2 linked regions of the Neodiprion lecontei genome follow. The protein of the gene in region 1 binds, or shares a complex with, the protein of each later gene. Links are inferred from orthologs where the notes say so. Each region holds a gene or a part of one and is shown on either strand. Other genes may lie near its edges. The genes, in order: B-cell receptor-associated protein 31 and mitochondrial fission 1 protein.

What was found.
Region 2: the proteins of B-cell receptor-associated protein 31 (region 1) and mitochondrial fission 1 protein are in contact, whole or in part, in a crystal structure (PDB 8XWX), measured with the Homo sapiens proteins. The link is inferred for Neodiprion lecontei from reciprocal best matches to the Homo sapiens genes BCAP31 and FIS1. Residues at the interface, in NP_001132913.1 of Homo sapiens: Asp224, Leu227, Glu228, Ala231, Lys232, Ala235; in NP_057152.2 of Homo sapiens: Arg52, Val56, Glu59, Glu60, Pro63, Lys64, Lys89.

The regions. Positions count from the first base shown.
Region 1 is NC_060260.1:410,666-415,856, forward strand, and holds B-cell receptor-associated protein 31, read right to left. Parts: upstream 3,148-5,191; 5' UTR 2,992-3,147; intron 2,769-2,991; exon of another isoform or gene 2,634-2,768; intron 2,173-2,633; 5' UTR 2,126-2,172; coding exon 1,858-2,125; intron 1,709-1,857; coding exon 1,281-1,708; 3' UTR 757-1,280; downstream 1-756. Other genes in the region: RNA 3'-terminal phosphate cyclase-like protein, read left to right, coding at 3,478-3,619, 3,718-3,957, 4,048-4,214, 4,302-4,476, 4,641-4,791, 4,850-4,954, 5,044-5,191. UniProt on the Homo sapiens protein: Functions as a chaperone protein. Is one of the most abundant endoplasmic reticulum (ER) proteins.
Region 2 is NC_060261.1:34,272,164-34,277,312, reverse strand, and holds mitochondrial fission 1 protein, read right to left. Parts: upstream 3,145-5,149; 5' UTR 3,038-3,144; coding exon 2,993-3,037; intron 2,103-2,992; coding exon 1,893-2,102; intron 1,628-1,892; coding exon 1,522-1,627; intron 1,429-1,521; coding exon 1,337-1,428; 3' UTR 704-1,336; downstream 1-703. Other genes in the region: cell division control protein 6 homolog, read right to left, coding at 3,810-4,043, 4,113-4,330, 4,447-5,149. UniProt on the Homo sapiens protein: Involved in the fragmentation of the mitochondrial network and its perinuclear clustering. Plays a minor role in the recruitment and association of the fission mediator dynamin-related protein 1 (DNM1L) to the mitochondrial surface and mitochondrial fission.

The sequences.
Region 1 (5,191 bases):
ACATCGTAAATCAAGTTCAATGGTATCAACGAAGTTATATCAATAACAAGTAAGAGCCAATTCGTAGGCAAGTACTGACGCATCTCTCGTATCCTAGTAAACATGCTGTGGACTACTCTTAGGATGGTATCAGTCATGTAAATCACGTCGCAGCTTGGTATGATGTAGTATTCTGGTATATACAGGGTGGTATTTACACTGTATGCAATTTTGTAGATTACAGTGAAAATCAAAAGAATGACAGACAGTATTATCAGTTTGGCAAAGAATGCATCAAATGGTAAGAATATTGCGTTTTCCCAATTAATGCCAGAATATTGTTGCTCAAATTTTGACTCTGAGTTCTGACTTGTGTTTTCACGTAGTTTTGTAGCATTACTGTCACTTATATCCAAACTTAGTTTATTGGGCTTGTTATCTACACCTTCCACTTGCATGTTAGTAAAAGTTTTCCATAATTTCAATTTGTAATTATCACAGTACCATAAAGTTTAATAGTCTCTTCACGATGTAGCTTTACAAGTCATATTTATCTAGCCTACTAGATATTTTGTCAACAAGTTTAGTTTTTTGTTTTTTTTCCAACATGTATACATGTTTTGTTTGAGTAAAAATATTTCTAGTGACCAATAATATTGTTATATTTATGGGAATTCACATCATACGTAGGTTTTTTCATTGTCGCACTATCATAGAACAACATTCCTGTACTGAGTAATCACAATTGGGGATGCAAGAAGATCAGATCGATGATAATAATTTTCACATACTTCTTGTATTCAAGAAACTATAAAAGGTAATACAAACAGTTCAAAAATATGCATACAATACCAGGAAACATCATAGACGTTACATTTATATGTTTAACGATATTAAAAATTGCTCTAATGGTAATTAATAAACAACAGCCGGTTAATGCTATTCATAATTTTAGACTCTGATTGATATTTTAAACTGACGAATGTATATCATTTAAAAACTTTAGAAGCCCTCATTTCTACGTAACTTTTTACCATAATGAAATTACAAATGCTCAAGCACCTCACCAAATTTTAGAAAAAAATTAGCAATATTAAATCCGTCACAATGTAATTGTTGCTATGTACAAACATGAAATATTCAAGCATTCAAAGATAAATATAAGAGAAAGACTTGCTGAGAACTTCAATAATCAAACAATGCAGCTTTGAAAATCCTACAATAAAAATATAACATTATTTTTATAGCTAGAATTACAAACAAATACCATCTCTTTTGCGCAAAAGGAAGTATGGTGAAAATTATTCCACTTTTTTGTCTCCGCTAGATTGCAACTTGGCGTGTTCTTCGCTCAGTCGATCATATTCCTGCACAAGAGATTTTGCTTGCGATGTGACTGCTTCTTTGTCTTTCTTTTCCTTTTGCAATTCCGCTTCGAGCTCAGAAATTTGTTTATTTAAGCCTTTGATTTGATTTTTAAGCTCAGAAACTGCTTTGTCGTGAGCCTCGTTGGAATCATTCTGGGCACTTTCTCCTGATGATTTCTGTGCCAGTAGAGATTTTGCTGTGGTGGTGGCAGATACTGCTTGCCGCATAGCTGCCTCACTTTGTGCCAGTAGCGTTGCTTGGGCCGAAATCAGTGTAACCAAGCGACGGATCACAAGGCTCAGAAAGAGCGAAAATCCAGAAATATAAAAATTCCGTTGAGCCCGAAACAGCCGCATATTACCTATAATTTATGCAATTGTATTTCGTTATCAAAGAATGTTATTTCTACGAAAACACATTAACCCACATACAGTAGTAGTCCCATTTTTTGAATTTTGAATCACAGATGCACTTCATTTTTCAACAAATAATAGTATACAAATTTCGTACCTTGCATTTCTGTATTTAAGTGAACATGTTCCCCAGTCTCTATGTTAGAATACTTGCGCATTTCTCGAATCGCATCTAGCAAAAATAATACCAAAATGGCCAGCAGGACTAAAAAGTATATCGACGCTTGACTGCTCAAGCTCTGAAGGAATCTGGACTTGAAAAGCCGTTGCCAACTCTTCGGGGATGCTATTGGCAAAACGAGGAGCAGAACAACAGCTATTTCCACATATAAAAAAGAAGCGATAATCGTCCATTGCAAGCTCATCTTTATTACCGTTTTTTCTTGCTTTCTTATCTTTCAGACGAATATATCTGAAAATAATAATGAACAATTTCAATTACACACTTGGTTAATATCAGGTACTGAAAAGTTTTTAAATGTCTGTCGTTTCTAGCCCGGGTGAATTTTGAATTAAATTAAATCGTCACATCCAAGATATTATTGTACTATGATAGACTGACCAACGGATGAATTACAAATGAAAAATGGGAAACTCTTGAGCCCATTTTATTTAAGCATTCAGTAATTTTTTTCTGACTTGCTAGTGTCGATTACTGTCAGCATAAGACCAAAAAGACCCAAGATTACCCAAATTACAGATATCTATTACAAAATACTGTATCTGAGGATGCGAGTCGATTTTACACTATTGAATATATCCAAAAACTTGAACTGTCTGAATTATTCTTTGGCTCAAGAAAAGTGAGTAAAGTAATGAGAATTGTCACAAAAAAAAAAAAAATCAGTAATGACATGAGATCAAATGCAATACCTGTATACTAAGATTTAAAAGTGAATCACAACCGACTTTACGAACTTTGATCAGATAGCTTCAGCCTATGACGCAATACTATTTATGAATTTGACAAATATTCTGTGTCGATGCAAGGCTAAAAATGTATGTAACGAGGAGATGGCGGGGAGCAAGGATTTGACTGTTGAATCGTAATGAAACTCGTACATGTAGGCGAGTCTTGTACTCATATCTCACAGGAATATTGTCTTGTCGAATGCGATGATAAGGTATAAAAAAAATTTCACGTTAGCGCAGAAGATTACATATGAAATGGCTGAATCGTCTATTTTCACTTGGTTAGCGAAATTTTTAGATTAATGGCTCAACTACTTACGTGGTTTTTAGAAAGTCGCACGCCGGTTCAAGCAATACCTAAATCTCTAACCACTCATTCGCCCAACGTAACGTCCAGCTAAGTACAAAGTGCGGTACGGATATTCCTGAGTTTATAAATAAATTACAGGGTGACGTTGTACCCCGTAAATGTTGCTATGTTTTCTACGTTTCTTCTATTTCGTTTTCCACGAACACAGGGTCTTCTTTGATTGGCCAGGCCGTTGGCGAAAGTTTGCGTTCCTAAATATTGGAAAGACGTCAAAGATTGTTGTTTTGACTCAATTTGAGGAACGCAGGTCAACGAGGTCTTCTCTCACTGACAATAAGTAGGTATCAGTCAAGTATCAGTCAGTGGTTCTCTGGACGAGAAAAAAAGAAGATAAAATAAATAAGAGAAAAAAAGTATAGGGAATCGCAATAAACACCACGTGCTTTACGGTGATTATTGTTTGAAACTTGATCACAGTAATATAATTGAGTAAGAATGCCAGGAAAACTTATAAACAACGTACTCACGTACGAAGGATGCAATTACTTTAGGTATCGTTTACTACTGGCAACATTGTCCGGGAAACCCGTAAGAATCACGGGGATACGAATCAACGATGACAATCCCGGCCTTAGAGGTTAGAACTTCGAACTGGACGGATCCGATTGTTGACCAATTCAGTTCCTTAGTTTTAATCATGGAGTTCGACATTTATGTTTTTGGTTTTTATTACAGAATATGAAATCAACTTCGTTCGACTCATGGACAAAATCACAAATGGGACCAGAATAGAGTTGAATGAGACTGGCACTATTATTTCTTATATTCCTGGTTTACTGGTCGGAGGAGATCTGGAACACGAATGTAGTCTTGAACGAGGTATCAGTTACTATTTAGAAGCTGTCATGATGTTAGCCCCTTTTTGTAAGAAAATGATCAGACTCAAAATCAAAGGAATAACCAACAATACTCTTGGTAAGAATTTTTGAAAATTTGTTCATTTCTGTAATGTGCATATTAAAAATCAAACGTTCTATCAAAGTAATTGGTTTCCGATTACTTCAGACCCCTCTATCGATAGACTGAAAGCCAGCGGAATTCCTGTCATTAAGCAATTCATTGTGGGGGATGATGACGTGGAATTGAATATTTCTAAGAGAGGCGTTGCTCCATTAGGCGGTGGCGAAGTATGGTTTAAATGTCCGGTGAATCGTCACCTCAAGTCGATACAGGTTGGTTAACAATTTTTTTAAACAACTGTCATAAATTTGAAATCATCCAGCGGTACACGGAGCCTAACCTTAAACTTATTGCCATAGTGCCAGAATTGTGGAATGGTCAAACGAGTGCGAGGTGTAGCGTGTTCGATACGTGTATCCCCGGCAATAGCCAATCGCATGGTGGAATCTGCTAAAGGATGTCTGTTAAAATTTCTTCCAGACATTTATATTCACACAGATCAGAGTCGAGGTTCATCAAGCGGTAAATCTCCAGGTAAAATTATTATTACGAAAAATAATTTTTCTAGTTAACAGATCGATGTTAACAACTTTCTTTGTCAGTAAGTTAATTCACAATGAAAGTATGTAGTTTGAACATATTCTATCAGTTGAGGTTGAAATTCGTGTTATATCCAGATAAATATTTTTTACCCCTAGGTTTTGGAATTACTTTAGTGGCTGAAACGACAACAGGAGTATCTTTGAGTGGTGAAGCATTTTCATCCTTGACAGAGACCGGATCTCTACCATGCGTTCCTGAAGATCTTGGTAAAAAGGCAGCCTTATATCTTTTGGATGAAATATACAGGTAAGTTTAAATGTGTTATTATTTAATCAACACCTTTATAGAAACAATTACTTTACAGAAGTGGATGTGTAGATTCTGCCTTTCAAAGCATGGCAACACTGTTTATGGCACTTGGTAAGAAAGACATTTCAAAGATGACCGTAGGCCCATTGACGCAAGCCGCGTAAGTGAACGTCATTTTGTACAAAAAAACACTTTATTGTTATTATCAAAGGCTTGATTATCATTAGACTATATCTTATTGATTTTCAGAATACAATTTCTACGGGATTTGAGAGACTTTTTCGGTGTTGTTTTTAAGATAGACATGTTGAGCAGTGATGAAACTATCGTCGAGGAACGAAGTCTGGTATTATTAACTTGCGTTGGAATAGGATATTCGAATATCAATCGCCGTGTC
Region 2 (5,149 bases), on another chromosome or scaffold:
ACTGAACGACATGTAAGCTCGAGTTCACCGACAATGGCGATGTGCCTACCGGTTAACAAATGAAGAACAGAGATAAAATCGGCGCTGCTCGCACCGCACGTTATCGTATATAGTTTCACAACTTTTAGAGTTTTTCGTATTTTGAACGATTCACCTTGTATACCTTTACAGGTAGAATTTCTGTATAATTTATTTGATACGCGAACAGATAGTGACGCTGCGAAAGGATTCAAACTTCTCAACGGTCGTCGTTAGAACAACGCGGCGACGACCGACTGATCGTCAATTGTCAATCATCGAAACCGGAACTCACCCACTTTGTGTGTTGCATGCAAATCTTTGCGGTATTTTCAAATTTTATCAGCCGGCAATCTGAGAGGAACGGAACTTCTTACAAGGTAACAAGCTTGCCTGTTTATTCGAAACCCCGCACGAACTCCCTGTGACCAATGCGCGATATATTTCGAAAAACTAGTGACTGAAGAACGGAAAACAATAGCTCGCATAGTTTGTGTTAAGACACCGGCGCGCGTAATTTGAACGCTTTCGATGTCATTTTCAGAGGTAAGAAATTTATTTTCATTATAATACTACCGAACTTTTTGTAAAATATCAGAAATGAGTACGGAAAGAGAAATGGGTTATTGAAGTAATGATGCGGTAATTACTGGTGTACAGGAAATGCAGAAAAGAAAGAAACGCCTTTGTCTGTGTTGGTAACTGAATGAAACACAGATTTTATTTAGGGTTCCGTAAATAACATAGATATGATCATTTCACACTGTAACTTCATTCTTATATACACAGCCTAAAAATAGCATAAATATATCTACTATAGTACGAATAGTCGATTTATATATTAATTTACGCGTACAAATTGAGACAAGATTTTTTTTTAATGTAACATTTAAATAAGGTCAAGGAAGCTATACAATAAGAGGATAATGCATTGCTAAAGATTTTGGAATGTATCCAAAACAAGCATCCATAACTACTACGGAATTATTGTGACGTTAACCGCCTATTTTTGAATAATACGAACTGTAATTCGTGATGCGGTAACATTTTTTAAGAAATTGATTTTTCAAATTACACTACTAAAAATCAGTTTAAATATATAAGTATAAAAACATGGAAGGCGATTTTTATTTCACCTAAATTGAAAATCGAAACGAAATGATGGAAAGAAAATACATTTATTTTTAATTCGTATTACGCAAAGATCATCACTATATGTGTATCAGTGTAATTTTTTACTCAAAAGTTATCACTCTATCTGCTGTACATCGTTTGCCATTAAACATTGTCGATGATGCACAGACTCTGACAGTGTTCATTAACCCTTCTTTGCCATTGCAATTCCTAATCCCAAAATACTTGCAAGTCCAATTATTACTCCTCCAGCTACTGCCATGCCAACAAGTCCCTCTTTGGTAAAAAACGAGAAAAAAAAATTGTAGGTAACAATTATTTTTACATAAATATTTTCAACATATTATATTAAAAAATTTATAGTCTTACCCTTTTCCATTTTCTTTTTTATTGTCGTTTCTAAATGCTGGACCTGCTGGTTGCCTGGTTCAATTTGCAGAAACGCTCTCACATATGACAAAGCTTTGGTGTATTCCTTAATAGAAAATGATATACAGATGTGTTATTGAAGCTCAAATGCACGAGTTTTGATATTTCAGACTCCTACATGAAAGGTAACTGGCTATGAATTTAATTTGAGCAATCAAATTATATCAAAGAATGTTAAGAAAGTAAAAACTGTTACAAAGTTATCTTGACAAACAATGAGATTTGCAAAAGGTTTAGTTATTCCCTATTTAAAGATACAAAGATAAATTCCATCGTTTAATGATATTAATATTCAATTCAATAATAAATACTTTTATTCTAGCATTTCCAATCGCTAGGTAGTATATGCAGTCACGTTTTAGCGCCTCTCCTTCTTTGTTGAACAAATCTTCAAGCAAGATAATTCCTTTTCGAATATCTGCCGAGTACTTGCTTCTGACCAAACACCATGCATATTCAAACTGCGCATTTTGGGTAACATTTGAAGCGTGCAGCTGTTCGTGATAAACTCTTTCGAATTTCTGTAAATAATCAGAGTAATCAAACATACATTTATTGCACAACGATTAAACATATTATACACCATAGTATTATCTATTACAGCCAAGTAACTATCATGACGTTTAGTGAGTTGGTTACTCGCTATCAAGATTCAGATATAGACAAAGAAAAAGTGCTGAAAATGATAAAATGAAGTCGTGAAATATGTAGGTTCGAAATGGAAAAATGTCGGAGTAATAAAAAGCTGCAACATAAGAAATAATCATAAAGTTTAATTTACAAAGTCAATTCAGTTTGGAGAACCAAAAATGATAAACAAGTAACTCCCATTTTTCAGGTTCTCTCTAGCATTTTTTATGTTTTTTTTTTTTTTCTCTTATTCTTTAGAGGTGAGTCACGTTATTTTGAAATGATTACGTATCGGTGAGTTGCGTGACATGCCGTTGAATAGATACATTTGTATTTTGTTTGAAGAAACGGATGCCGCGTTAATAACGAATTTGGTCCTACGGTAACGGAACTGGAAATTAAGATTAAATTTGCTCAATGTCGTGCGTGAATCGATACTTTAAAGGTTATGGTGGTACGACTTTGTCGTGAATACGCAGCACGATTTGTTAGGAAGTACAAATGTATCGCTGGAGTAGCAGCTGTTATAAAAAGATAACGATTCGGAGAACTGAGAGAATCCAACTATTCGTATGTCGCGGATGTTAGAAATGATCTTTAGGATCTCCCATTATTCAGTTCAGACTATTAACCTCGCCTAGCTGCGATCCCGGAGTAGAGACGGCGATTCGTAGAAATCAAAATACGCTTCGAATTTCTGTCAAATTCACCCGCGACACATGCCATGGAATATTATCGTAACCGTGATAATTAATATTGAATTAAAAAAATGTCAACCGACCTTTAAATCTTCAGAAGAAACCACCTCGTCCAGTACGTCTTCCATGTTTCCGATGTCACGTTAGGCACCACCGTCAAAAACTGCTAACACTGGTAATACCAGAGGTAATACCTACCGACTTATACGCTGATGGATACCTCAGTTCCCTCTCTTCTTTTCCTTGTCGCCATGCACCAATCGGCGTTGATACTGCCAAGCGTTACAAGCGCGAACAATTTAAATACATCTTATGTTCCTATCGATAACTTTACCTTACCGACCATTCCGTTTCAAGGGACGAATCGTTGAAAAAATTTTCGTTTCAAACTTTTGAGAATTTTGTTGGAGTTTGCTTTCGATCAATGGACCAGTAAATAAGGGCATACTGAATGCGATTGCATCAAGAAAATTTCTTCTTCGTATACAAATACAATACTTTATTAATCCACGATACTACATTCATACAAAATATGGAATTGATGATTGCTAAGCAATTAGGCTAATTCATTAGGTACAATAACAATTATTATTCGGTCAGTACGGGGTGAAAAAATGTTACTCGAAGAGCGCGTCAATATTGTTTCGGTTGACTTGTGCAATTATGATAAGTGAATAAGCCGCTTGCGAAGTATGATAAAATAATCGATAATAAATAAGATTGATTGAAAAATCTTCCAAAACATTATCGCGTGCACTTCAAAAAGACGTGAACAATCTGAGTAGCGCAAAAAATAATTTACAATCAAACGTAACGTTAATTAAAAATTGTTTCTAATAAAAACGAAAGGCACTCTAGTCTTATCCGTTGATGCTGCTAATAGACAATCTTGGAGCCGTTCTACAGACAAGATGCGTCATTTAAAATTTCTGACATCATAGTTTTATCCTGCAATGCTCCTCCAAGTTCTTCCTGGTCCCACAGTAGATGTACCTTCGATAATCTGGGTTCCTTTTTACCCACTATTCTTAATACACCTCGAGTTTCGACAAGGGAGCACAAACTAACGAACTCGGACATGTCGACTATGTGTATATTTCGTTTCTTGCAAACTTTTTTGTACACCTCGTGCAGCTGCAAATAGGAAAAAAAATTGATTCAATTTTTTCGCAGTTTATTATCACCATCCACGAGTTCAATTACCATTCCAATCGTCAGATCCTTGTTCTTGCCCTTATTAAGAATTAGCATCAGCGAACACAGTAGCAGCTTCTGCTGCAAGGGAAATATACTCTCTTCATTGTTGATGTTCTGGGCACCTCCATAAACGCTGTTCAGAACCATGACAACTTCCTTTAAACCAACTGATTTCTCTTGAGGTATCTCCTGTTGTTTTCGTGGACTTCCCGCAATGTTACTACCTTTAATCCGAAAATTAACTCATCCCATATCAATGGTAACACGACAAAAGAATTAGTTTAAGATTGTAATTTTTAAATTGAAAATCGACGAATTTTCCAATCTCCAAATTGCTCACCATTGTCGTTACAGGGCTGTAAAACCTGAGCGACTCTCTGAGCTTCTGCAATCTCTATGACTCTACGGCTGATATCCAAAGCCTTCCTAATGTCCCCAGAAATAGCTGCAACCTTAGCAGCCAACATTTGCACAGCTACTTTATTGAGAACATCAGATACATTTGCCTCCTCGAGTCTTTCCGTGATGATATTGACTATCTGCTGTTTAGAATAAGGTGCGAAATGCATCAATTTTGGCCTGAGTTCACACCTTGCCTGTAGCCTGGGAAGAATTCTGTCAGTAAGGTCCAGAGCGTTTGCTATTCCGATTAGAACAAGTTTGGATCCCTCTTTAGAGGGCCATTCAAAAATTGTGTAGAGAACCGACTGACTCCTGGTGGTCAGCTGATCGATTTCATCGAGAACAAGTAGGAGCATTTGATGCTTTGACTTCAGATACTTTTCAAGTGTTGACCTGTTCGCCTTCTCAGTTTTCGCAAGATTCAGACCCAGATCTTCAACGATTTTGGCGTAAATAGCACCAGCTGACTTTATCGCCGTACAATTAATATAAATCACTTTGAACGCCGCCTTGAACTCTGGCTCAAGCATAATCTTGGACAGAGAAGCAGTTTTCCCTGTCCCTGGAGGTCCAGAGACATAGAGAGAACCGGAACTAAAGTTCTTTAAGCGATGAGATATAAACTCTCGCAATTCTGTCAG